7 linked regions of the Cricetulus griseus genome follow. The protein of the gene in region 3 interacts with the protein of the main gene of each other region in a pairwise test. Links are inferred from orthologs where the notes say so. Each region holds a gene or a part of one and is shown on either strand. Other genes may lie near its edges. The genes, in order: Tasor2, Psmd11, Prkab2, Grn, Rhebl1, Spry2 and Stx19.

Region 1 (3,500 bases), on a different chromosome or scaffold from region 3:
GGTTAGCTTTGGGTTTTTTTGTTTTTGTTTTTTTTTTTAATAGTAGGGCATTCGGTGAAAGATGTATTTACAGCAACATTTTGAGCCAGGCTTAAAAACATCCACAGTTAAGTCAGGCTCTGCTGCCATATGCAGAAATATGGTAAAGTGTGAGCTTCCCTTTTTTGATACTCATATTTTGAGTTGCCAGGGTATTGGATTTAAATAGCAGACAAGTCACCTTAAATCTAAAGCAGTGATTGTTTTAATTCATTAATTTTTTTGCAGCCCAGTCAGTTTCCCTTCCCTCCTCTCCTCCCATTTCCTCCCCTCTCAACATTCTCCCCCTCCTTTTTCTTCAGAAAAGTGCAGGCCTCCCATGTATATCAACCAGCCATGCATATTAAGTTAAAGCAGTGATTCGTGTATGTGGAATATGTATGTATTTATGCAGTTTGCACACTTGTGTGGAGGAGCCTGGCAATCTATGTCAAGTGTCTTCTATCACTGTCCACCTTATTTTTTTTTTTTTAAGATTTTATTTATTTATTATGTGTACAATATCTGCACACCAGAAGAGGGCACCAGATCTCATAACGGATGGTTGAGAGCCACCATGTGATTGCTGGGAATTGAACTCAGGACCCTTGGAAGAGCAGTTGGTGCTCTTAACCTCTGAGCCATCTCTCCAGCCCCCCAGCTTATTTTTTAAGAGAAGGTCTCACTGAATCTGGAACTCATCAATTGGACTAGGCCAGTTGGTTGGCCAGTGAGCTTGTCCTCATCCCCAGTGCTGGCCTTACAGATGTGTGCCACCACACCTGGCTTTTTATATAGATGCTGGGGGTCTAAACTAAAGTCCTCATGCTTACCCAGCAGGTACTTTACTGACTGTACCACGTCCACAGCAGTGGAATTTTTTGTTGTTGTTGCTTGCTCATTTATTTATTTATTTACTTATTTATTTATTTATTTATTTATTTATTTATTTTTGGGTTTTTCAAGACAGGGTTTCTCTGTGTTGCTTTGGAAGTTGTCCTGGAACTCGCTCTGTAGACCAGGCTATTCTCGAACTTACAGAGATCCGCCTGCCTCTGCCTCCTGAGTGCTGGAATTAAAGGCGTGCACCACCACTGCCCAGCTTGACCAAGTGTTTTAACAACAAATTAAAATGAAAGTCAAGAGAGCTAGAGAGATGGCTTGGTACTTAAGAGATGACCCAAGTTCAGTTCCCAGCACCTATATTAGGTGGCTTACAATTGCCTCTATAGATCCAGGGGATCAGACACCCTCTTCTGGACTCTTAGGGCACCTGCACTAACATGCACTTTCTTTCACATAGATAATTTAAAATCTTTCTTTTTAATGAAAGCAAGAAAAGCTACTAACATTTCTTTCTATTTTCCAGGGTAGATTCAATTGCACATAAAAAGAACTTAATTCTGAAATCATATCAGAGTGTAAATATCATTGAATTGCTTCATTATCACAACTGTGACTCTCCATCACCAACAAAAGCTGAAAATTTGAAATGCTTGCTAAACCTGCAAGTTCAACATATCAGTGCCAGGTTTGCTGTCTTCCTAACAGGTAAATTTAATCTTCATTAATGCTAAAATAGGACAGCTCTAGAAATACCGTTCTTAAGTAGTTACTGAATTCCTTAGATATATGTGGCTTTTATCCATAGCTGGTAGGTAGTGCAGCATGTGTTTTGACAGTCCTGAGGATGCTTGCCAAGGAGTAATGAGTTTCTCTAGTTAATAGTCTTCTAATTAATATTACCAGATCCTACAAGTACATTTTTCTACTTTTCCCAAATTTTCTGTGAGCCTTAGCTGGGCTGCCTGGTTACTGAAGCTAGTACTGTTGTCCATTACTGTCCCTTCCCTCCCTCATGCTGCTTCCATGTGTCTTAGTTTTTCTTCTCATTCTAATGAATTCTGCTACCTTGGAAAAAAAAAAAAAAATGGGAAATGCTAGCTAACTGACAAGTTTGTTTTTTTTTCTTTTTTCTTCATAGACAAGCCTACAGTATCCACAGAAGTCTTTGAAAATAATGGAATTCTTGTTACAAATGTAAACTACTTCACTGAAAATATACAAAAGATAGCAGCTCCATTTAGGAGTAGCTATTGGTAAGAACATTTTGTAAAACTCCCGTGTAAGCTGGAATTACTGGCAGCAGACACTACCACCGAGGGAAAGAAAACTGTTCAAAGACTACTCTTTAGATTCAAATGGAATACACTTTGGTTATATTTCTTGGTTATTTCTGTCTTAATTTTGTGTTCCTACAGGTAATTAAGCTACATTTGGAGTTGAAACTAGAAATGGAGGACACCAACAATATATTAGTATTTTCCTGTGTCTGAAAAACTTCAGATACACACAATCAATCCTTATCTAAAAAATCCATGTTTCATTTTCATACTTTGTTAGAATGTCATATTTCATCATGGACCATAGATGCCAATAGCTCTGGGTTCCAATGTTTATTTTACTTCTAAACATAATGCCTTCAAAACCATTAAGCTTACTATTAAAATTGAGACCGTCACATGTTTATGTAGCTGAAGTAAAAGTATTTTAACAAATAGCTGTTTCTGTGTGTGGTCAGAGGCTTATGAAGTGCATGTTTCGGGGTTTTACAGCATTGTAAAAAAGTATAATCTGTAGTGGTTTTGTTTGTTGTTGCATAAGAAACACTACAAAGAAACATTTTTCCGTAAATGACAAATTTATACACTTTTCCACTTACTAGGGTTTTTTTTTTTTATGCTGCACTACAAAAATCAACCTGGGGAAGAAATTATTTATGATAATTAGAACTTTCTTAAGTCTTTAAAAATACATACACTCAAAAAAACATTTGTATACTGTCTATTTGGAACAAAGGCTTTTATACCTAGTTTGGGGTTGGGTTTTTTTTTTTTAATAAAGACAATTAAAATGCAGTTGTTTGTGCTGTGATTCAGTCTGTGTGCAAAGCCACTCACCAGGATGCTTTTAATAAGAATCCCACTACAATGAGCCTTGTAACTATAGTAAAATGTATAAAGCCAGAAATGGCTCCCATCCAAATCTATTAGGTTAGCTCTCCTGAAGGCAGTACGGCAGTTGTGTTGTCTTCACAAGCAGAACATGGGCAGACAATATAGAGGACAGTGCTTTCCAGAGTTTGGCTTTATTTTGCAGTACAGAAATCATTTGGAGCCATTTTGAGACAGACATCATTGAAATCAAGGCTCTGTCAAATCAATACTGCATTGCAGCTTGGTCCATTGAAGAAGCCATACCTGGGATAAAAGGTGCTTCTATAATTTCTACCTGCTTACCATATGGTTCCTTTCCCCTTCTCAGCAATTGTAATAGGTTAAAATACCAATACTGGCTTCCTCCAAACAACTCCCTAAGTCTAAAATTTGGCTAGAAGTTTACACCCACATAAACAAAATATGTGGCTGCTATTTGAGCCCTGCTTTAATACTTGACATAACAAAATAGAGAAAACTTTGAAT
Region 2 (3,958 bases), on a different chromosome or scaffold from region 3:
TAATGCAGTCACAGAGGAGTGCAATGTTGGTTCTATTTTTCCTTCCTTTTTCCTTCTTCCTTCTTTCTTCCTCCCTCCCTCCCTCCCTTCCTTCCTCCCTCCCTCCACCCTCCCTCCTTCCCTCCCTCCTTCCTTCCTTTCTTCTTGGTTTTTCAAGACAGGGTTTCTCTGTGTAGCTTTGCAGCCTATCCTGGCACTCGCTCTGGAGACCAGGTTGGCCTCCAACTCTCAGAGATTTACCTGCCTCTGCCTCCTGGAGTGCTGGGGTTAAAGGTGTGCACTGCCCGCCCAGCTACAGTTTCTTTTATATTATAGCACAGCTATTTCATGTCTGGATTGTCATCACCTAAAATGTCTCTCTATGTATTGTTTTAGCAACATTCTTAGGTTAAACCTTGGTGGTCACATAAAGTGTTCCCCCCCAATCTCCCCCCGGCCCCTTTCCTTGTAATCCTCATAGATATTTGGTTACAGTAGAAGGAATTAGAGATATGGGAGGAAACAATTGTTCTATTGTTGATCTGGGAAGCTGGGGTGAGTCATCTGTGTGAAGAATCTCAAGAACTATTTAGGTTGAAAGAATGGGTCAAGGAGATTTTCACTTCATTAATGTGAAGCTCTGTCGAAGATGCAGTGGTTATTTGGGAAAGGTGGTGGACTGTGGCACTGGTGATTTTGCTAGCACTTGGAAGGGTGTGTGTGTGTGTGTGTGTGTGTGTGTGTGTGTGTGTGTGTGCGTGTGTGTGTGTGCGCGCGCGTGTCCTTTCTGCAAGACATATGAGTGGATCCAAACGGGTGTGTGTGTGTGTGTGCATGTGTCCTTTCTGCAAGACATATGAGTGGATCCAAACGGTCCTATTTCCTGCCATACAACATACAATTTGGAAGGTATTCTTTCTCTTTGAATGACTAGTCTAACGTGGATACTATAAAGATAGCCAAGTAGTTTCTCTTTAACACCTAGTCTCTTTTGGGGAGGTGGGGGACTAAGTTCGGTCTTGTCTCGTCAGAGCTGGCCGCAAGATGGTGTCGGAGAGCTCGCATGCCACTGGCGGGAAGCTCTTGATTCACCCGCCCTGTAGACAGAGAGAGAGACAGACTACAACTCCCGGGGTGCTCTGGGAAGGGAGGCGGAGTCCCCGGGGGGAGGAACGCGAGGGCGGGCCTTCCGGGTGTGTGTTTCCGGCGTCGGCGGCCGCGGCCGGGGACGGTGTGAGAGCGGTAAGATGGCGGCCGCAGCGGTGGTGGAGTTCCAGAGAGCCCAGTCTCTACTCAGCACCGACCGGGAGGCCTCCATCGACATCCTCCACTCCATCGGTAAAGGTTCTCGCGCCCTCCCCGCGGCCCCGCCGTCCCGGCGCCGCCTGTGTGGGTCGGAGGCGGCGGAGAGGGGCCGGGCTAGCCGGCTGTGGTGCTGCTGACTCACTGTGTGTGAGGGGGGCCGGGCCGGGGGCGCAGGCCGCTCGGGGCCCCCGGGAGCCCCGTGGCTTCCAGGCGGGCGGGAAGCCCCGAGCCAGCCCGCGCATCCACCTGCTGGCTGCTGACTCACGGTGGGCGCAGGGCAGCGTGGAGAGAGGGCCGGGCCGGGTTCGCTACCCCTCAGGGTCCCGGGTGGTGGCCCGCGCGAGCTGGCCCGCGGCTGGGAGCCACTGCTGGTTACAGACCGGTCCCAGAGTGTGCTCTTGAGAGGCCCGGGCGACAGCCGCCCAGGACGGGCATTTCCCGCCGTTGTTATCAGCACAGGTTGCTCCGGGTGGGAGCGCGAGCGCTTCTCTTGGAGTTTTCTTCCACGGGACGCTGCGAGCTGCTGCTTACCCCCAGCCCTCCGCAGCCGGCTCCAGCAAAAAGAGGGCCACTTCTGGGTGTGGGAAGTTGAGGGCATGTGCTGGAGGTGGCCAGGACAGTCCTCTGTCCGGTGTAGCCTGTGAGGAGGCGAAGTGTCGGGGTGGGACCGCCGGGACACAGGAGGTGACTAATTCTCCCCAGTAGGGTTGAAGTTTGAGTTCAGAGTTAGTTGTCTGTTGTTCAGTGAACTCTTTGCATCCGGCCGGCTGCACGTTGTTGGAGGAAAAAAAAAAAAAAAGAAAACTTTTAACATCATAGTGTGATTGTCTTAAACCTAAGAGCAACAGTAAAGTTAAAATAGGAGCCCTCGGCCGGTCTCTTTCTTCTGGGATTCAGGTGTGAAGAGAAATAAATGGATAATGGCAGAAAAGGCTTTTAAATATTCAGTCCTCAAGGGTTCAGTTAGGGCATGAGCTGCTTCTTGTGATAATGTGGTCTTTTAAATGTAGCCTGGCAAAATTCGGATGGGATCAACAAGTAGTTAGTGACTGCAGGTGTGTGAAGGACTTCCAGGGTGTCGGTTGATTTGCTCAGCCTGTTGAGTTTCAGTTGTGAAGACTTGCATAGAGAAAGGACAGTGACAAGGGCTTGTGTCTTTATCTTTTGGGGTGCTAGAAAAGGAGAGGAGATGGTGATCACACGCATTTTGAAGGGATAATGCTGATCAAGGGCATTTCCAACTTCTGATCCTAAGTGAGTTTTCGAAAAGGGTACCCAAGCCATCCGATTGCTGTTACATAGGTATTTTTCTGTGAATACACGTTAATATTTAGAACTAATCTGAGGAGCATGAGGTTTAATTTTTTTGTACCCAGTGCTTGATTTGTTTGCCTTTCCGAAAGTAGAGATTGCTGATAAACATTACCATTAGAGCTTTTTTGTTTTGTTTTGTTTTGTTTTTTTGTTGCTCACTACACTAAAGGACAGTCCCCTGCAAGCTTCCCTGTTAGAGCAAGCTTGAGTCATGATGGGTGACAGCCTTACTTTTTCTAGATTCCATCATGAAGTATCAAAACCTTGGTTTTGTCAAGTCATGATTTGTAAGTTTGTTAAGACCAGTGGTAACTAGTGATGATCACCAAAATAAGCAGTACAAACTTTGGAGAGGTTCTTTGAGGTTCAGATGGTTGAATAATTATTAACAGTTGAAAGTGGGACAGACAGAAAGTGACTTTAACAGGACCTGGTCCATTATGAGCAGCAGTCTCTCCTAAGTGTAGCTAGCTGTTCAGCATCACACCGGAGCTTTGATAGGGATTTGTCTAGAGTGGCTTTATAGAATTGTTTATTCCTAATACATCCGTTAGCTGAAGCTTTCTATAGACTTAAAAGTTTATAGAAAGACTTGGTTTATAGTCATCAATAACTTTATAATTTGATTTTAGTTTGTGATAGGTAAATGCACAGGCTTTTTTTTTTTTTTTTAGTGTCTTCATATAACATACTGTCTAGCATGGGGCTCATCACCATAATTGGGAAGGACTTTATCTATCTATCTATCTATCTATCTATCTATCTATCTATCTATCTATCTATTTATTTTTGCTTTAGTTTTTACTTTTTGTTTTTTGAGACAGGGTTTCTCTGTAGCTATGGAGGCTGTCCTGGCACTCAGTCTGTAGACCATGCTGGCCTTGAACTCACAGAGATCCACCTGTCTCTGCCTCCTGAATGCTGGGATTAAAGGCATGCGCCACCACCACCCAACTGTTTGGTAGTTTTATTTGGGAAATAGGCAAGAGTTCATAATGAGTTATCTTGTAAGGGTGAATTTTCCCCTTGCTTCATTTTTTTAAATCACAATTTTAAGAGTTCATTTTCTTTTCTCAGTGAAACGTGACATTCAAGAAAATGATGAGGAGGCAGTCCAGGTCAAAGAGCAGAGCATCCTTGAACTGGGGTCTCTCCTGGCGAAGACTGGACAAGCTGCTGGTAAGTCTTGCAAATGATTGTACCTATGATGCTTTTGTCTGAAGCACCAGATGGAGTTTCTCTTAGAACACTGGACTGCACCTAACACCCAGTTCATTTGTGGTATTATTCAGTTTTATTTTCCTGACAATTTGTTGTTATTTAATTTTGTAACAGAAAAGTGTAGAATTGTATTCTACAG
Region 3 (4,293 bases):
GTTGATGGCTGCATTAGGCATGTTTACCAATGCCTAAGAACAACCCTCAGATTCTAATTCCCAAACAGAACCTGAGAACATATTTTTTTTAAAGCTATCAGATAATTATACTGTACTTATATTACAATAAACAGGGAAAACGTGTTTTGTTTTTTCCTAGGGGGGTCAAATTCTCACTCCGGATTGGCAGTGACCCTCCTGCCTCAGTCTCTGAACAGCTGCAATTACAGGAGTGAGCCACTACTGTATCAGCTTTAAAGAACAATCACCTTTTTAGGTATACCCTAAAATGTTAGAAATACTATTTGTTGGCATCTGTTTCAGAGTAGTGGGTGGGACAATGGCTTGGAGCACAGAAAGCCACTCATTCGTGACCTTTCAGCACCATTTCAACCGGGTGACATACACACAGTTCATTGTACTGTTCTAGTTTATAAATGTGTCAGATTTCCCATAAGGTTTTAAAAACAATCTTAGGGATCCTAATGTTCAAAAGGGATGGAGAACCCTAGTGAGTCTACTAAAAAGCCTGACCTTTAGAGCAAAGATGCCCCCCACCCACCCCACTGTCTCTATCAGTTACTTTTATGACGGAGGATTTTCAGTTCAGGATTTGAAAGCTCTACACTATTAATACACCTGGCTTTGGAGCAAAGCCCTTCCACTTATGACATGACATTTCTGTGGTAGCAGGGAACGCAGCAAGACTGTTTACTGGAGTTGAACCACCAGCAACAGCAGCAAATCGGCAATTCAAATTACAGTCTGAAGATGATTAAGGAAAAAAAATCAGTGGGGGGAGGACATGTGAACTATAAAGTTTTTAATCTTCATGAGACTGGGGGGGGGGTTGTTGGAACTACTTTTCTCATTTCACAAACGGCAAGATGTGAGGGAAAGAATGTTCCAAAACAGGCCTGAATTCACACAGAGCAAGCTGGCTCCTATTCAGGACACCAATTACTGCAGTCACAGTTTGAATGTACCCAAATCCTGAGTCATCCATGTAGGAATGAGCAAAAATACACGGCCTGTCACCCTGGGTAAGCTTTGGAGAACAAAATCCAGGCTGAGCACAGAGCCCCAACGACGAGGAAGAAGTCCTAAAGTGGGGACAAAGAGGGAACCCCAAGAAACGCACAGCTCAACATCTCTTACTTCCCTAACGGAGTCCTCAATCAGGACTCAAGAAAACAAGCCATATAATCCAAATTCCACATGCTGTCAAAGAGGTAAATAAAACTCTATTCACTATCCTAAGCCTCAGTGCAGTGGGAAGGGATAAAGTGACAGGCGCCAAGTATATCCCAATCATCTCCAACCCTCTGGTTTTTCTTTTTCACTCCTGACAGCCTACTTGAGAAATTAAATGTTTTTAATGCTGACATTTCTAAAAGTGATTAGGAACATTAGGGTAGCAATCATACTGCTGTCGGCTCCATCTGCCTCTTCTTTTGGGTGAACAAAAATGGGCCTTTGGCTGGAAGTCTCTGGCATTGGTGGCAAAGTCTTCGGGCAGTTGTGGGTGGTTTTGAGCCTCAGGCAACATTTTGAACATTTCGAAGCACTATAGTGGAGTGAAGGGAAGTAACTTGCTCTCCCACAAGGCACAGCCAGGTGTGCAAAAAGCACAGTCACAATCGCCACGTTTATAAAAAAAACCAACCAAACAAACCTGAAGCCATTATCCAAATGATGCACTGTTCTGATCACCAAGACTAGGCGAAAGTATTCAAGTAACCAAGTGATAACTGCTGAGAGTCACGCAAACGGGGACGAGGATCAAAAAGGGGACGCAGGGCCCCTGAGAGCAAAGGTGATATCTACACAAAGGCATTTTCAGGGAAAAGAAATACATTTAAATATCTCGAGGCCAATGTGAGAAACGGAGCCCGAAGCAGCAGCTCAAACAAGGCAACCTCTTAAGTTTCCAAGCTCGCTCACCACCTATACATCCTGCAAGCTCCACCACAAGAAGGCAAGATGTGGTGCAGAACCAAGGATGGGGCGGGCAGGGGACGTGTCTCTGGTACCGGTCCTGAAAGTATGGCCCGCAGATCAGTCAGAAGGGCAGGAAAACAACTCCACGCCTCTATCCTCATTTGAGGCAGCACCTAGGAGGCATTCGTACTCAACATCCCTGTCCGCGGGAAAGCCCTCTAAAGTCATAAAATAAAATGAACCCGTAACCCTTGGGAGTGAGGAGGAAGAACCAAGAAGGGAGAAGCAGCCGGCAGCCCCGTGGACTCACCTTGGAGTCGGGCAGGTTGAAGACGCTGGGGTCGTCGGTGCTCCCCACCATGATCTTGTGCTCCTTGCCCGGGCCATGGCCGCCGCCCTCGGCTCGCGCAGCCTTGGCACCGTGGCGCTCCCCGGACACCCGCTCGCTGGTGGTGTTTCCCATGGCTGCAGCTCGAGTCGGGGGCAACCTGCCGCGGGGAACGACACCGGGCTGGGAACACCCCCGCGGCCGCGTCAGGGGCGTCCCGGCCCCGCCCCTGCGCCCGGGAAAGGGAATCCCCGCCGCAGGAGGCCGCGCCCGGGGTCCCCTCCCTGGTCCACTTCGGGGACGCCTCCGGCTGGGGAACCCGCCCGGGAGTCACCTCTACCCCGCGGCCCCGGCGCCGCACACCCTCGCGCCGCTCACCTCGGGCGATGCGCTCCGGGATCGCGGGGCCACGCGCACGCCGGCTGTTGGGCGCACAGAGAGACCAATAAAGTTATTGAAATTGAAGCCGCGCCCCAAGCCAGCGGCACGGGTGGTTTCCTCCTAAAATGGCTACAAGGCCCGCGGCGCGGACCCGCCTCTGTCCATGGCCCCGCCCACAAAACCTCTTTGTCCCGCCCCCTGCGTGCCAGCCCCGCCCCCTCCCCAGTCCTAGTCGCCTGCCGCTCTAGCCACCGTCGCCGGCCGCCGTCTCTGTGGTGAATGCGTGCGTGCCTGCCTCCAGTTTGGGGCGGGGCGGGCGCGGCGGGCGGCGGCGGGGGGGCGGGGCGGCGGTGGGCGGGGCGCGGGTGGGGCGGGCGGGGCGAGGGGGGTCAGGGTCCGGGTTGGGGGCCAGGCTCTCGCGTGGCGGGCGCTAGTATCTGGATGGAAGTCTATACGCTTTCGGAGTCATGTCTTCCTAAGTAATCCGTCCAGCCATGGGACACGGACTCGTCAGAGAAGCCAAATCCGAGGTCTCCTGCTCTGGGTACAGAATTAGAATCTGCACTTTAACAAGATCCCATCAAACTGCTTGACAGCGGTAGGGAGCGGTTCCACATTCGAATGGTTTTCATTATGCCGCTTACAGCTCTACCGAGCGACCTCGTTTTCATTGTCCCAGGAAGCAATGAAATGAAGGGTGGAAGAGAGAATTGACTAGACGCATGAAGTGTGCCTGGCAAGTACTGCAGAAGGCTTACTTATATGTGGTGCCCAGTTCACCATAGTGGTGTTTTCTCTTACTGTGATTAGCTGTGTGGGAGCATGCATTCAGCTCAAGATGAAGTTTGGCCAAGGAGGCAACAGAGGAGTTGGGAGCGCATGGTGGGCTGGGAATATACCGTTGGACCAGCGACTGGAAACCAGTAGACTAGAAAGTGAAGGCAAAGCAGGCTGATGGCGGGCCCAATGGAGTCTAAGATTGATGGGCATGAGGGTATCGGAGTGAGCGGAGAAGATGATTAAGTAAGTGGTTTTGGAGAGTAGGATGCCTGCCACTGAGATTTCAGAGGCCTTGGAGTTATCAGCACTGGCAGTATCTTGGACAAGATCAAGGGTGTAGGTTGGTGAGGCTAGGTAGACCATAAAGTCATCAGAGTAAGAAAATCAAAGAAGGGCCTGGAGAGATGGTTGAGTGGTTAAGAGCACTCGTTCTTTCCGAAGACCCAAGTTTGGTCCCCAGCCCTGACATGATGGCTCATAACCATCTGTTCCGGCTGATCTGACATCTTTTGATGCACATGCAAACATGCAGGCAAAACACCCATTTATAGATAAAACTGAAAAAAAATGTTTAAGTCATGCAACTGAAAAGTGAGATGGCAGAGATGGTTGGAGATCTGCCTTCCTAACTCTCATTTCTTTCCTCTTTCAAAAGCATTAATCCATCTCCATCTCCATCAGATGCCAGGAAAGGGAATCCCCGCCGCAGGAGGCATTAATCCATCTCCATCAGATGCCCATTTCCACAGAGATGCACTTCTTAGCCTCCCCAATACGGGGCGGGGGGGGAGATACCATGTAGAACTTCTGTTAAGTTTTTCTTCATGTCTTTATCCTTGTGTATAGGACGCTCATAGAATAGC
Region 4 (4,029 bases), on a different chromosome or scaffold from region 3:
TTAGACGATCGCTCATTACCATAGGCAATGTGTCCTGGAAAGAAGCAATGACATATACCAGAGGATCTGTGCCAGACCTCTTCTGGCCAATCCAAGGTAACCCTTCAAAAGGCCAGGATGCCAGCTGGGGCGTGAGACACTCACCAGAATAGGGTTGCAGCAGCTGTAGCTGGCTCCTCCGGGGTCCAGGCAGCAGACAATAGGGCACGACTGACCATCTGGACACTGTGTTCCAGCCACCAGGCCTGCCATGAAGGCCAGCCAGCTTACCAGGGTCCACATGGTCTGCCTGCAAATGCCAAGGAAAGTTTGGCAGCCATCTTAAGCTTATGCCACCTTCTATTCTGAGTCCATGCAGTTCCCCATGCCCTGGCCAAGGCATGACATGCCTTGGATTTATTGAAACTTCTCAACAAGTGAGCAGGAAGGCAAGCAGCTGCCTGAGTCAGCATCCTACACTGTAAGCATCACACTTGCACCAGCTTGCACACACGGTGAGCACGAATGCTGGCATGAACACAAGTGTCCATCATGTCATCACACTTGGCCTAACACCTGACACTATAGGCGACTGGAGAGGCGCGGAGTTATGACAGTCAGGAAGCCATGTGGCTTTGATTTATGGGACTGTGGGCTAACTGGGAGGAGACTTCAGCGGCCACAAGAGGACAGCCAGCCTCACCTCGCTGCCTGGCACTGAACTCCCACATGTACTTTTCAAAGGCCTTGGGGAAACAGAGTTGTCAATCACATGATCATATGGGAAACCAGGGGTTGAGAAAGTTGTGAAAACGGAAGTGCAGTGGCCAGGGGAGTCTGGGCTGCCTTTCCCACAGGCCAGCCACTGCCTGCCCACAACTGTCCCCTCCCCACCCAGGGGAAGGGCACATGGTGGCTGGATTAGCCTTGAAGCTAATTTCATAACCAGCCCTCCTCAGCATCACCAGGACTCCTTTGGACTCCTCAAACATACCACCTGTTTCTCCCTACTCAGAAATCGAAACTCAGCTGCAAGAGCAAAGTTAAGTGTACTTCTTCACTGGCCCTCTGCCTTAGCAGGAGGAACCGAGTCTCTCACTTCCCTAATAAGTCTTTCCCCAGCACAGCTGGCCTACCCAGCAACCCAGAGTGACACTCCCCTGCCTGGGGCAGCAAAAACAGCAATATTCAAAGACCCTCCAGGGAGCCACTTTGCCCTTCCTTACTGTATTTCTCTGCACAACTATGCAAAGCAGTGATCAGATTACTTTCACTTTTCAAATCCATGCCCAGGTATCAAGTCAGAGAAAACAGACTGCAGATATTGGACCTGGATTCTTATGTCAACTGACATCCCTGAACATTGCCAGGGAATGGACCCCAAATCCCAGAGGCCAGAGGTCCAAGCAGAGGGAAGCGGGCAGAACATTTCCCAGGCAGGTGACCTACACAGGATAGAAATAGGGTGGGTACAGCCAGACGGTGGTGGCACACGCCTTTAATCCTAGCATCCAGAAGCAGAGGCAGGTGGATCTCTGTGAGTTCAAGGCCAGTCTGGTCTACATAGCAAGTTCCAGGACAGCCAGGGACAAAAAGATCCTGCTCAAAAACAAAAGCAAAACAAAAAAATCTACAAAAGAAAGGGTGGGTACAGGGACGGTGTAAAATCTGCCACTGATCAATTGCTGAGGGCCTCAGAAATTGTTTCCTGTGCCTCAAACTCTGAATACTGGTGGCCATGGAAGGCAAAATCCCAACATCCAGACCTCAAAGCTTCCGATAGGCATGACAAACATGCTTTTGATCCCTGCACTTGGGAGGCTAAGGTGGGAGGATTACAAATTCCAGGCTACAGGGTGACTATGAGGTCAGCCTGGGCTACATAGAGGATCTGTCCCTCATTGTGCCCCCTCCCCTTCCTTCTCTAGGTTTTCAAGCACCCTCTCAAAGAATATCCCAGAGGTCATCTCCTGGCCAGATTAGAATGGGGTAGGGGAGACCTAATCCCTTTCATTAGGGTTAGGGAGTGGTGACCTCTGGCCACCTCTACACCACTCTGTTGAAATAGCCTGAGAGGACTGGAGGAGCCTTTCAAGGCCCTAGCTTCGAGATCTTCCACTAGGTGGCACCCCCGACTCCGGAGTGTCAAGGGGAGATGAATTTCCCAAAAGGTGAGCCAATCCAGCAGAGGAGCAGGGAAAAGTGGCGGGGAGAGGCGGAAGTTAGCTCTCTCGCCCCCCATAAAGGAAGTACGGCTGACACAACCCAGGGATTCTGCCACCACGCCCAACTCCTGCTCCCAACTCCTCTGAGCTCTGGGACCAAGGGCGGGAGATCCCCACCCACTGCAAGTCGCCGCGAAGACTACTGGCGGCACCAGAATGAGAAAGTGCCGGGACCTGGAGACAAGAGGTGGGAGGCACCGAGAGAGATGAAGCTGGCCCAAGAGTGGGGCGCTTCCTGCTCTGGAGAAAGCCCTGCAGCTTTCCGACATGCTGGGCAGGGGAGCCTCTTGTTGGGGGTGTCTACAGCAACTGTTCCCACTCCTCCCAAATGACAAACCCTCGTTAGTGCATCTGAAACCCCGAGGGGAGTTTCAAGAGGCAGGACTTCTCTCGTCTCTGAGCTGAGGCTCCGGGGCAGCCTCAGTTGCACAGCAAGCCTGGCCAGGCCTCTGGACAGCAGCCAGGGAGATGTCTGCTGCGGGTCCTCCTACCTGCTTCGGGGTCCGCACTCCCTGGGAGGCATCTGGCTGTCAGCTCTCGGACTAGGGCTTGGCTGCCCGATGGCCCGCCCACCTCAGTTTCCATTAGCCCTGGGTCGGGAATCCGGGGCTTCCATTGGCTACTTGTCTACATAGAGGCGGGACTCTCCAGGAATGCTGTGTTTCTTTTCTACTCAATCCACACTCCTCCTCCCTTTCCTCTCTCTCCCCACACCCCATGTCTAGGAATCATGTGACCAGGCAATCATATGACACCATAGCCCGCCTCCCCCAGGGCCTCGCTTGCTTGTTCGGTTGCTTTCCTCCCACCCCCCAGGGCCCTGGCGGCGCCTGGCGAGGTGTTCTAGAGATGGGGCTTGCGTACCTAAGGCCACCGACAGTTAAGAAGGCGCCTGCGGGGCGCGCGTTCAAGGTCGTTTACAGCATAGCGTCGGCTTCTGGATCGGGACATTTGTACATTCACTGTTTTCACGCTAGGCAGCCAGGACTCCAAACAAGCTGAAAGATAGTTGGGAGGGTAAAGATAAACAGTCCCCAGATTTGGGTGGGATACTAAATCTAATAAATGTTCAAGGGCGAGTACCAGGCAGGAGATTGGCTGAAGGTAGGGGAAGAATAGATGTAAATCCACTTTGAGCTAGCCAGGAGATGGTATCACGCTGAACTGAATCTAGAGGAATTTTAAGGGGCTGGTTAGGCGGGACAGAGGCACTCCGGAAGAGGTTAGGAAAGCAGATGGGGAGTACAGTGTCTAGCAAGAGTTAAAAGCCACATTCAAAGTAAGGGCATTGGGCATGAGCTAAGTATGTGGCATGGGCTGGTGAAGCAGGCTGGTGGCTGTGGAGGTGCAAGAGGCCTCCTAGTTTCAGCTACCCCTACCTTCGAGGAATTGTCATGGTCCATGAATAGAGATTTTTAGCAGTAGAACAGATTAGCCAGAAACAAAAGCCAGGCTGCTGAGTGCCAAAGGGCCTGGGCCAGACAGAAATGGCTGATTGGAGACCTGCCAGGAAGAGGACAGGCCCCAGGAAAGCCCAAGGCTGGGCCTTGTAGGAAAGGCAGAGTTGGTGTGGAAGATAGGTCCCCTGGGAGGAGCAAAGAGCTTGACTGGTAGGCCACTCAGGGGAATGGGGACAGCCCTACGAATAAATCCAGGACAGTAAGAGTCTTGCATAGAGAGGAGCCTGGTGGGCTTCTTGGGCTAGAGCTACAGGAATCCCAGAAAGTGGAGGCCAACGTGGAGTATCTAGGGTAATTCTGCAATTCTGTAATTGCTTAACACAGCCCCAGTATCCTTGCAGCTCTCTGAGTCAGGGTCTCCTGTG
Region 5 (4,024 bases), on a different chromosome or scaffold from region 3:
AAACAATGCCTGCAAGCTGTCTGAAAATTCTTTTTTTTTTTTTTTTTTGTCTGAAAATTCTTTAAGATTTAATTTCCTCTTGATGCTTCACACCCCTCCCCCAAGGTTTGATGAGGGTGAGGTGAGAAAAAAATACATGTAAACAAAAGCATGATGGGTAAATGTAAGACTGAAGCTTGAAATAGGAATTATGGCTTTATGTTAGAGTTATTCTTAAGTAACCATCAAGGTAATGATGAAAAGAGGGAAAATGGCTAGACATAGTGACCCACCCCTACAATCTCCGCTGGCACTGCTAGAAAGGCAAGAGGACAGGGACTTAAAAGGACAGCCTGGACTACATGGTGAAGATCCTGTCTCAAACAGAGGCAGGCAGGACTACAGCTTGACTGATCCCTAGTACAACTTACTTTCCTTTGCCATGAGCAACAGGGGTTTACACACCTGTCTGGAGAGAGATCTGCCTTGTTCCCCACAAGCACCACAGGTAGCCTGTGATGAAACAGCAGTTACTATTGTATGATTATAAGAACCCTTTTCCTGGAATGTAAAAAATAAATTAATAATAAAAAAAAAGAGTCCTTTCCCCAATCTCTATGGACCCCAACTAGTCTAACTACAGCAAGGCTAGATGATTCCCCAAACAAGCCAGGCATGATCCATGGCCAGCCTCCTGGAAGAATCCCCATGATTGCTTTCCTCCACACCTTCATTCCCACATTCTATTTCCTGGGGCCACTTACCGAGTTTTACCATGGCCTTCATGTAGCTTTTGGTACAGGCTCTTAATGATTTGGAAGCTTCAAAACATAAGAGATAGAGCTTTAATCTCAGTTCTAGGATTATTGTTGAGTCCTCCAAGCCCCACTCAAAATCTTAGTCACACACCTATGCAGAGAGGTGACAGAATATACAAGCACGTAACCATGGACCCCAATGATGAACGAATAGGGCAGAATGCTGTACTCATCCTGACAAGAAACAGAAACATGAGTATTAAGAGCCACACCATTCAAATGGCACAAGCTGTTGGGATAACATACAGGTGACCCTCTCAGAGACATTCCTTGCTCCCATTCAACAAGTATTTATAAAGTAGCTCCAATGAGCCTTGTACACTGTTAATAGCTAAAATACTTTTCTTTTCATACTACATCACACATGAAACACACAGACCACAAGACTTTATACAGGGGGAACTGCAACATTTGGACACCCTACCCCAATTGGTACCTGCCCTGCTGTGTCCACTAGATGTAGATGAAACTCATCTTTGCCAAGAGTCACTGTCTTGCTGTAAGCTGGAAAAACAAAGAGGAAAACTTCTTGACTGTGAGGTGCTTTGTAGGACCAGTGATGTGTATTCCTTTACATTCCTGACCCTGGGAGTAACAGAGACAGACTAGTTCCAGGGAACTTTCCAGGATCTGGAGAGTTATGCTAGGGTTCTTGCTGTCCTCATCTTTAGTATAGTAAAGATTCTATACTATCCTGGACTAAAATCTTACAAATTCTACTCTCTAGACCATCAGTTCTCAACCTGTGGCTCACAACCTTTTGGAGGGTCAAATATCATATATCCTGCATATCATATATCCTGCATTACAACTCATAACAGTAGCAAAATTACAGTTATGAAGTAGCCATGAAATAATTTTATGGTGGGGGAACATGAGGAACTGCAGTTAAATGCTAAAGGGTCACAGCATTAGGAAGGCTGAGAACCACTGCCCTAGACACTCACAGAACAGGATTCCCAGAACTGATATGATTAACACATAAATAAATCAGCCCCTTGGTAACAAAGAAATATCAAATTATGTAATTGGAGAGGGTACCCAGTCTATCTAGGTTCCATCTCCTTCACACTAAAGAACATTACTCACTATTCTCCACTGTAGGATCGTAGCCTTCCAGGAACTCGCCTTCCACAAATTGATGGGCCAAAGATGTCTTCCCTTTAAGGACCAGAGATTGTTGTAATATAATCATCCACCTACATTCACACCGTTTGTCCTTTCGGACTGTGGCCAGGACCAAAACGCATCCCAAATCAGCTTCCCATTCAGTGAAAGACCCCCAGCTCCAAGCAATGCTTCCCCTTGGACTACTACTACGAACATCCTTACGCGTTGACTCCGCAGCAGTTTGGCTCCTGGGATGCATTCAGCACTGCCATAGGAAGCCTTTCCCTGCCCCACCCCACCCCACCTCACCCTTTGGAAGATCCAGGACTCCCTAGGATCTAGTGCACCAGCCCAAGGACACTTGCAAGTGTCTGCCTCGCGCAGACCTCCACCACGCCTTCAAATGCTGATCCCACCCCTGTTCCCAGAGTAACTCAGGGACCACTGATGCAACCACAGCCCGGTCCACTTTAACCCTTGAGTGCTCCTTTTCCAGCATCCCTCCACACGACTTCTTCCCCGTCCACATTGGCTCCTCTAGTCACATTCCCGCGACAGCGCGCCTCTTCTGGACACAAAGCAACGGTGCTGCCACCGCTGGTGCTCTCGGGAGGGCGGAGACTCACCTACCGAGCGGTACCCCAGGATGGCCACCTTCCTGTAGCGCACCAGAGGCATGACAGGACGCCGCTCCGAGGGGCTCCTAGGAGCGCGGACCAAGAGAGCCCGAACACTAGCTGGAGTGCAGGCGGCAGGGGACCCCGGGAAGGACCGCGGCTCACCAAAGATAAGCCGGGTGAAGGGAAAGGAAATCAAAACAAGCCGCGCGCCCGGGGCAGCCCACGTGATCACAACACTGCGGCTCTACGCAAGGGAGCCGGGCGCCAGGGGCGGGGGAGGGGCGGAATACGCGGCTGGGCGGCTCCCGGCCCCGCCCCCAGGCTGCTCCCCATTGGTCAATTAGAATGAGGGCGGGCGGAGTCGCCCACAAGGAGGGACCAGTGGGCTCACGTGGAGCGGGAATTTTGGGAGCTGCACATGCGTAGACCTGAGCCGGTTCATTCATAAAGAAAAAGGTGCTCGGGGTCCTAGAGGTACTTTTCCATGTGCAGCCTAGCCAAAAAAGCTGTGAATCTTAGATGGAAAAACAGCTGTTGTGAAAATACAAAACGAAAAGGAAAATACCTGCTGTGGTTGGCTGGTATTGGTTTTTGGTTTTGTGTTTTTAAGACAAGGTCTCACCTTGTAACCCTGACTGGACTACAACTCTCTATGTAGACCATGCTGGCTCAAAACTCAAAGAGGTCCACTTGCCTCTACTTACCTAATACTGAATTAAAGCATGCAACACTACAAAGTAGCTTTGGGCCGGAGGTTTTGTTGAAAAGATGCTAGGCCTCTGAAGTCAGCAGTGATGGCAGTTTTTAATCCCAGCACTCAGGAGGCAGAGGCAGGCGCATCTCTTGAGGCTATCCTGGTCTACAGAGTGAGTTCCAGAACAGCCAGAGGTAAACAAAGAAACCTTGTCTGGGGCGGTGAAAAAAAAAAAGGGGGAAGGATTCTAGGCCTTTGTTTTTCTTTTCTTCAAGATAGGGTTTCTCTGTGTAACAGCCCTGGCTGTCCTGGAACTTGCTTTGTAGACCAGGCTGGCTTCAAACTCACAGAGATCCACTGGCCTCTAGCTCCAGAGTGCTGGGATTAAAGGTTTGGGGCCACAACCATACGGCTCAACAAATATTTTTTGATCTGTGAACTTGAGAGTTGAGGCAGGAGAATGCTGTCAGTTCAAGACCAGCCTGGGCTAAACAATGATCAAGCCACCCAAGACCTTGTCAAAAAACAAAAAACCCAGGCTTCCTGGCCTAGGCCTATAATTGCAGGATTTAAGAGGTGAAGACAGGAAGGTCAGGAGTTCAAACTCATTATGGCCTCAGCTACATAGTGAGTTTGAGCCCAAGAGACCTTGTCTTAAAAAAAAGAAAAAGAAAGTCTATTGAGCATGTTCAGACACTGACCCAGGTTTGCTGAAAGAGATAAGCATGACATACAAGGTCTCTGTTTCCCTGGCATTTAAATTTATTCATAGAATTTGGAGTTGTGACAATGGCATGCATGAG
Region 6 (4,178 bases), on a different chromosome or scaffold from region 3:
TTTGTAACAGGTTTAAATTTGTCAGGATCCTTTTTACACTAAACACCAACAAATGCCTACAACAGCTTCGGTTTAAGTCAGCACCGAGAGTTGTGTAATCAGTATCTTTTGCCAGTCCCATATGATATAAAAGTACATTCTGAGAACAATTAAGGCTGCATTTTTAAGTAAGTACAGTGGTACAAAGTTACAGAATTGAAGTCATTTCGATTCCCATCAGCTATCACGTGAAAACAAACTCGTAAGACCAAAACGTATTTTCCACTACTCGAGAATTAAATATTCCACAGACCTATGAGTCTAGCCTTATATCCTCAATCCCAAGTCATTCTCCCTGTTTAATAAAGCATGCAAAAATGATGTTATCTTCTCGTTTTGAAAAATACCCAGAAACACAAAAGCAAGTAACAGCAATAGGAAAGGTTTTAAAAATCCTAAGTGTCACGGTTGAAACCTATCATTTCGTCAAGGGATCGCTTAAATTACAGTCATTCTTCGGTTTAAAAAGTACCACCCCTCTCCCAGGCCCTCATAAAAATACCAAAGAAAATAAGCAAAAGCGGACTTTTAATCCAACCTTGGCTTTTTGGAAAAGGGCAGCGAACAAGGCAGGTGACAAACGCCTCCTAATTCAGAACTAGACAGAGCTGGAAACCGGATCTGCTCACCTCCAACAGCAAGGTACACAAGGCTGTTCTTTGCTTTCACTGGGTTTATCGGCTCTATCTGCGCCCCCACACAGTCCGCAGCAGGTGGGACTCAGCCAGAACCCCGGGGACTTTTCTCCTCCAGGCGGACTGACGCTGTCTAGGGCCAGCCCGGCCCCTCCTGCGAGCAATCCCCTGAAGCTCAGGCAGGCAGGGGGCGCGGGCGCCTCCGAAGGGGACGTGTCGTGAAATGCACGAGCACACTTCCCCCTCCTCCGCACCCCCTCAGCTAAAATTTCCCCCAACCCAAGAGAACTGCCACCCAGCCCCAAGAGGGGGTGCCACTCCAACACGCCCACCCCCGCAGCAAGGTCACCACAAGGTGTTTCTGCGAAGGCCCTCAAAACGCTTGTCCCCACAAGTTCCCAAATCCGACGCCCCGAGGAAGAGAGCCGGGTCGGGACGCACAGCTTGCACAGAAGTCTATGTACCCACGCTCCCAGAGAGACTCCAGCCAGCGTGCAATGACCGAAGAGAGCACCGCCTGCAATCTGCACACGCCTACCTCCTTTTAGACCAAGAAAAAAGATTTATTTCTTAAAACGAAAAAAAAAAAAAAGAAAAAGCTTTATCTAGAGCCCCACTGGACACGCCAGGCGTGCAGGCCTCCGACCCCTGAGATCGGGAACTTCCCGTGAAGACTGCCCGTGAAAAGTAGCATCTTTTGGAAGAAAAAAAAAAAAAGTGATTTCTGCCGATCCCTGGCGGCCTCCTTCGCGGGCCGCCTCCACCCCCTGCGCTCTCGCAGTTCCTCTCCCTCCCCCTCTGAGTGCTTTGAAACCCCCATTAAGAACAGTGTGTGATCAGACTAAGGATTAGGGGGAAAGGACTTCAGCACTAGGGTGGGGCAAACCGACACAGAAACCCCTTTGTAAAAAAGGCGTTAAGACTCCAAATCTCAAAAACAGTAACACAAAAGAGGGAGGGGGGAAACTAGTTTTTTTTGCCACCTACTTTCAGGTAATGGAAAACGATCGCGACCACTTAATAACTCTCTTCCTGTGCTAGGTCAGCCCAAGCATCAAAAAAAGAAAAAGAAAAAAGAAAAAAAAAGCATGACCCAGGCCGACCACGAAGAACGGAAAAAAGAGAAAGCCGCACTTCCGAACCGCAGAGACGCGGCGCCAGGCTGGGCGACGCTCCCACCCGCACCGGGCTAGACTGTCCACACCGGGCAGAGGCGGGGACTCCCTCCGCCTGGCAGCCTACCCTCGGCTTGTCCGCCGAGTCTTCTGCTCCGGTGCGGTGGTGAGATGAGAAGCCCAGTACCCCAGCCCCACAGGCGCCCCCCGCCGCAGGATCGGCTTCCCCAGAACTTGGCCTTCCACCGAAAGGAGGAACAGGTTAGCAGCGTAAACGAGCCTGCAACAGCGATCAGGAAAAGCAGGGATCTCGGCGACTAAACCGCCTCCAAAGCAGGGTAGGAGCAGAACGCAGTGGAGCGGTCCTCCTCCCCAAAGCCCTTAGGGAGCGCGGTGTCGCGGAGTGGGGACACTGCACCGGCGCACCCTGCAGCCCGGCGGTGACTGAACCCCTGTCCTAGGCGAAGCAGATCCGCGGGGCAGCTCCCGATCCTCCCTGGAAGCCTACGGGTTTAGGGGAAAGAGGAACCCGTACCCCACTCGCGGCGGACTGTGGTTCCAGCAGGGAAAAAGCCAAACGCTCCTCACCGTGATCGCGGCTTTGCACCAACCCCTCTCCCTTGGACTCTCTTCTTTCTGCGATGTGCAAAGTAAATCCAGTCCCGATGCAAACTTTTTCCTTCTTTCCGAACTCTGCTTCAGTCCAACTTCCAAGTAATCGGTGGCAGGAGAAAAACAACCAGGGGAAAATTTGGAACCCAATCCTCCACCGTTGGAACCCTCTCGGATTCCGGGCTAGAGAGAGAGAGAGAGATGACCTCCCTTCCAGAAGCGCACGGAGTATTTCCTCTTTTTTTTCTTTCTTTTTTTTTTTTTTCTCAATGAACAAGAAGCCGAAGCGCCGTGGTTGGCGAAGTCTCTTTTTTCCTGGCCGATGAGAGAAAGAGAGGCGAACACGGCCTTACAAAGAACCTAAGGCCAGCTCGCCCAGTCCTGGGGGCCCGGGGCTGCTTCGGAGCGGAGGCTGGCGCGGGGCCGCGGGCCGGGCCGGGCGGGCGCGCGCGGGGCCTGGGCGCTGCGCGCTCCGCCGGCCCCCTCCGCTCGCACTGCGGCGCGCAGCTCTGGCTCGTGCAGACTGGGCGTTGCGGAGGCGCGGCGGCGAGGCCGAGGCGGGGGCGGGGTGCGCAGGGGAGGAGATGGTGGGGGAGGAGGGTCTGGGCCCGGCCGGGCCGGGGCCGGGGCCGGGCCGGGCTGGGGCTGGGGCTGGGGCCTGGGGGGGCGAGCCGCTGGCCTGCGCCCTCGCCTTTCCGGAGGAGGCAGGGAGCTCTGCAGCGGCCGCGGCAGCAGTAAATGGCGTCATGTGGATCCGAGGCGGAACAGAGCAGTTGTTGTCCCAGAGGATATATCGCATCCGGTCCCAGCTCATTGGCTCGGCGGGGCTACATTCACTCACACTCCAGCGCCCGCCAGCGCTCCGAGCCGCAGGAGGCATTCAAAAGGGCAACCGCGCCGCCCCGCGCGTCCCCAGTCGCTCCTGCAGCCCGGGCGCCGTCACGCGGGGCCGCTGCGGCCACCGCGAGGTCAGTTTATCTAGTTTCAAGGAAACACTGACCTTAAGGCTCCCCCCCCCCCCGCCCCGCCCGCTCGCTCGCTCGCCCACCCCCGGAGGCCACGAGCACCAGCCGGAGGCCAGGCTCACTTAGGGAACTTTCTCCCTCGCCGCCCGGAGACCAGAGGGGACGTTGCAAAAACTAACCCGGCCGCACGGTGCGAGCGTGAAAAGCCACTTGCGGCTTTTTAAAAGATTCGATTCGGGAATCCATTTCGGATCTACCTCTTCGCCTCCTTCGCCCGCCCCACCCCCTCCAATGCCCAGGGGGGCGAAGAGGGTGGGGGGAGCGGGAGAGGGAGGGAAAGGGGAGCGGGAAGTGAGGTGGGAGGGCTATTGGTTTATTCTTTGTCTACTGGATTAACCCGATTATACACCGGGCACCAGCACAAACCGCCTCCCCCACCTCCGAGCCTTGTACGGCAGGAACGGAATGCAGATTCGGGTTTCAAGTCCCTTCTGCTCTGGCTGGGATTGGCTTTTGATTGTGTGGACGTGTAGTTTGTTAGAATTTCATTTTTAAGAGGGATTATCTATAGATGGAGGCCTTTTGAAGACTTTTTTGGGCATTGTTTTTGCTCGACTCAGAAGCTTTTTAAATTAATTCAGTAATACCCACGCGATTACTCAGGGCGACATCATGGACTTCCGAAATGGGGGGGGGGGCGCACGCTGTTCCCCTGCAAATTGAATCCCTCCTTCGCGAAACCGTAAATAAAAGGAGAGTCATCTTTCAAGTCCCACTGTTTGTCACCCAGAACATTCTCACAGAAGTTCCTC
Region 7 (2,716 bases), on a different chromosome or scaffold from region 3:
CACCTTAGGTCTCAAGCTTTACTGTCACCAGTTAGATTCTTCATCAAGTTTGCAATTGAGTTTTCCCAGATCCTAGTTATCACCAGGTTTACTTACCAACCAAGGATAAAGACTTAATAGGCCTTTTAGCTTCATTTTGGTGCACTGTGCATTTTGGTGCATTTTGGGACCTTGTTTTATCCAACTCTCAATTACCAAAATATTCTCAAATGAGCCAGATTAATAAAGTAACTATCACTTAGTTGAATATTCATCACAAGAATACAGAAATGCACAGGAGAACTCAATATTTTTCCAGAAACATAAGGTCTTTCACTGTCACTTTTAATAGTTAACCTGTACATCTTAGGTAAATGCTTGTCTTGTGTCACCGGCTTCAGCATTTCTGTAACATTAGTGGGTAAATGTTAAAGGGAAAAGTGACCGGTTAGCAGTGTTAAGATGTATGTAACTGGACTCGTGAAATGAAGACAACCCAAACAAGATTCTGCAATGTGGAAACCTCACCCCTAAACCCTGAGCAGTTTCTTTATTTGGAACCACAGCATGGACAGCAACAGCACAGGACCCTGCAGGGGTTTCTTCTTTTGTATTTTACAGCGAGTCCAAATTTCTCTTTGGTATTGATGACATAATCTTTTGTGCTGGTCACCATTACCTCAATGTTGTTGAGGCTTTCTCCTTGCTCCTCTACCAGAAGAGAGATCTGAATGAAGAGGTCCCGGAGGTCCTTCACTTGGGTCTCCAGATTCACAAGCTCTTTGTGTCTTTGTTCAATCTCCGAGAGCTGTGCTTTCGTGATGCTGGTCTCCGTGAGTAAGCTTTCGTTGAAAACTTCCCATTTCCCATGATGAAGCATGTCATTCACTTCCTCTTCAGACACTTCCTTTCCAGCCACTTCAAGCTGGCGGACAATGAATGTCTTGCATTTCTCCTGCTTTGAAGCGATTGTGTCGTTGTAGAGAAACATAGTTTGCTGAAAGTGGTGGAACATTGCGGCATACTGAGACTTCAGTATCCTTGTGACCACTGATGACGGACCATTTTCAACCTCTGACTTTTTTACTTCTTTAACCAAATCACCCAGTGCTCTGTGAATCTGTTCTGCTTGGATTTTTATCTCCTTTGCAATGGTCGAGTCTCGTTTAAGTAGGCTAAACCTTCTCATGGAAGCCACCAGGCTCTTCTGTTGCTGTCCAAACTTTTGAACATCATCAGCAAAGCTGTTAATAGTCTCCTGCAGTTTTTGGATCTCATGTAGGTGTCTCTCAGCTACAGGCTCTCTCTCATAAATAACAGCTTGCTGGACAAGCACACCTTGGTCGTCTGCTTCTGCAAACACCTGACTGTCCCGAGAGAGTTCGATTTCCTTGGTTTTCTGTTTTAATTCTTGAAGTCGGTCTTTCATCTTCCCTTCCCTCCTAAGAAGCAAAAATAATGAAATGGAACAAAGGACAAAGTTGCCATTTTTCTCCATTAGCTATGTGTCTCTTAGCAAAAATTCTAGTTTTCTAACAGAAATTTTAAAAATTGAGGAATATGAACAAGGCACGATGGCTCTTGCCTATAATCCCTGCAGGGAGACTAAGGCAAGAAAGAGTCTGGCAAATTCGATGCTATCCTAGGCTACATGTGGAATTTGAGGCCAACCTGAACTACATAGTAATAACTAAAAAAGAAAAGAAGGAGAATAAAAAATAATTTCCTCATAGATATTATCAAAATAGAGAAAGTAATACAAGAAAATTTAGGAATTACTTTGAATGGTTGCTCCTGCCACATATCTCATTTATTTGAGTATAGTCACTGAGAAGGCAATGGGGAAGGTATAGTTGCCTACAAGTAAGTTCATCCATGCCATTATACTGTCCACAGTACGACTTTCCATTACAAAAGCTTTGACTGTACTTTGACTTTTAGGATTGGCTTTTAGCTTCCTAAAAATATCATTATTAAAGATGCCTTTCCCATTGAGTTTAGTCTATGCCCTGTTTAAAATAGACATTTTTCTGGTACTGGAGAGATGGTTCAGCAGTTGAGAGCACATGCTGCTTTTGCAAAAGTCCAGGGCTCCTTTCCCAGCACACACGTGGCAGTGCAACAACCATATGTAATTCCAGTTTCAGGAGATCTGATGCCCTTTTCTCATTCCTGTGGGGACCAGGTATGTATGTGATACACATACATACATTCAGGCAAACACTCTTCCACATAAAAATATACACATATATAATCATTTTTCTGAATATGCATAATTCAATTAAAACTCACATAATGACAGAATAAATTCTATGTGGATTTTAAGCAATATATAATGAGCTTTTTGAATTGGCATATTTTATATAGCCTTGTTTTCTTAGCTATTGCATATATGAAAATTATTGAGTTGATTATGCTGACTTCTCATTCTTGACAGTTATTTCCAAGGATCTTGGCTCCTAGGGCAAAATGTATAGAAATTCATATCATGATAATCTTTAGATACTTGAGAACATGATTATATATAACCTTAACTGAGAATACTGATATTTTCATTTTCACCTAGTGCTCCTAATTGTCCATAGCATCAAATCAAATTGAAATAAGTTACATATGATTATATATAATGATAAGGCAGTGACACACACATACATACAGTGAAATAAGTAAAAGCTATTATTTTTAATAAACCACTATTTTCTTAATCCTTGAGTATAGAAAGGCACTTAATCCCTTT

The links.
Region 1: the proteins of Prkab2 (region 3) and Tasor2 interact in binary tests that used the Homo sapiens proteins (3 or more experiments, as listed by UniProt). The link is inferred for Cricetulus griseus from reciprocal best matches to the Homo sapiens genes PRKAB2 and TASOR2.
Region 2: the proteins of Prkab2 (region 3) and Psmd11 interact in binary tests that used the Homo sapiens proteins (3 or more experiments, as listed by UniProt). The link is inferred for Cricetulus griseus from reciprocal best matches to the Homo sapiens genes PRKAB2 and PSMD11.
Region 4: the proteins of Prkab2 (region 3) and Grn interact in binary tests that used the Homo sapiens proteins (3 or more experiments, as listed by UniProt). The link is inferred for Cricetulus griseus from reciprocal best matches to the Homo sapiens genes PRKAB2 and GRN.
Region 5: the proteins of Prkab2 (region 3) and Rhebl1 interact in binary tests that used the Homo sapiens proteins (3 or more experiments, as listed by UniProt). The link is inferred for Cricetulus griseus from reciprocal best matches to the Homo sapiens genes PRKAB2 and RHEBL1.
Region 6: the proteins of Prkab2 (region 3) and Spry2 interact in binary tests that used the Homo sapiens proteins (3 or more experiments, as listed by UniProt). The link is inferred for Cricetulus griseus from reciprocal best matches to the Homo sapiens genes PRKAB2 and SPRY2.
Region 7: the proteins of Prkab2 (region 3) and Stx19 interact in binary tests that used the Homo sapiens proteins (3 or more experiments, as listed by UniProt). The link is inferred for Cricetulus griseus from reciprocal best matches to the Homo sapiens genes PRKAB2 and STX19.

The regions. Positions count from the first base shown.
Region 1 is NC_048596.1:228,642,776-228,646,275, reverse strand, and holds part of Tasor2 (protein TASOR 2), read left to right. Parts: intron 1-1,387; coding exon 1,388-1,569; intron 1,570-2,002; coding exon 2,003-2,117; coding exon of another isoform or gene 2,118-2,121; exon of another isoform or gene 2,122-2,279; coding exon 2,280-2,283; 3' UTR 2,284-3,500.
Region 2 is NC_048600.1:93,879,536-93,883,493, forward strand, and holds the start of Psmd11 (26S proteasome non-ATPase regulatory subunit 11), read left to right. Parts: upstream 1-1,158; 5' UTR 1,159-1,226; coding exon 1,227-1,317; intron 1,318-3,675; coding exon 3,676-3,777; intron 3,778-3,958.
Region 3 is NW_023276806.1:58,819,651-58,823,943, forward strand, and holds the start of Prkab2 (5'-AMP-activated protein kinase subunit beta-2), read right to left. Parts: upstream 2,801-4,293; 5' UTR 2,648-2,800; intron 2,453-2,647; exon of another isoform or gene 2,430-2,452; 5' UTR 2,405-2,429; coding exon 2,252-2,404; intron 1-2,251. UniProt on the Homo sapiens protein: Non-catalytic subunit of AMP-activated protein kinase (AMPK), an energy sensor protein kinase that plays a key role in regulating cellular energy metabolism.
Region 4 is NC_048600.1:115,672,851-115,676,879, forward strand, and holds the start of Grn (progranulin), read right to left. Parts: upstream 2,801-4,029; 5' UTR 2,728-2,800; coding exon 2,696-2,727; intron 290-2,695; coding exon 145-289; intron 35-144; coding exon 1-34. UniProt on the Homo sapiens protein: Secreted protein that acts as a key regulator of lysosomal function and as a growth factor involved in inflammation, wound healing and cell proliferation. Regulates protein trafficking to lysosomes, and also the activity of lysosomal enzymes.
Region 5 is NC_048595.1:395,350,090-395,354,113, forward strand, and holds the start of Rhebl1 (GTPase RhebL1), read right to left. Parts: upstream 2,801-4,024; 5' UTR 2,586-2,800; coding exon 2,534-2,585; intron 2,025-2,533; coding exon 1,887-2,024; intron 1,302-1,886; coding exon 1,234-1,301; intron 972-1,233; coding exon 889-971; intron 801-888; coding exon 744-800; intron 493-743; coding exon 445-492; coding exon of another isoform or gene 411-444; intron 1-410.
Region 6 is NW_023276807.1:257,384,644-257,388,821, forward strand, and holds the start of Spry2 (protein sprouty homolog 2), read right to left. Parts: upstream 2,801-4,178; 5' UTR 2,378-2,800; intron 1-2,377.
Region 7 is NC_048597.1:30,361,549-30,364,264, forward strand, and holds Stx19 (syntaxin-19), read right to left. Parts: upstream 1,417-2,716; 5' UTR 1,409-1,416; coding exon 530-1,408; 3' UTR 501-529; downstream 1-500. UniProt on the Homo sapiens protein: Plays a role in endosomal trafficking of the epidermal growth factor receptor (EGFR).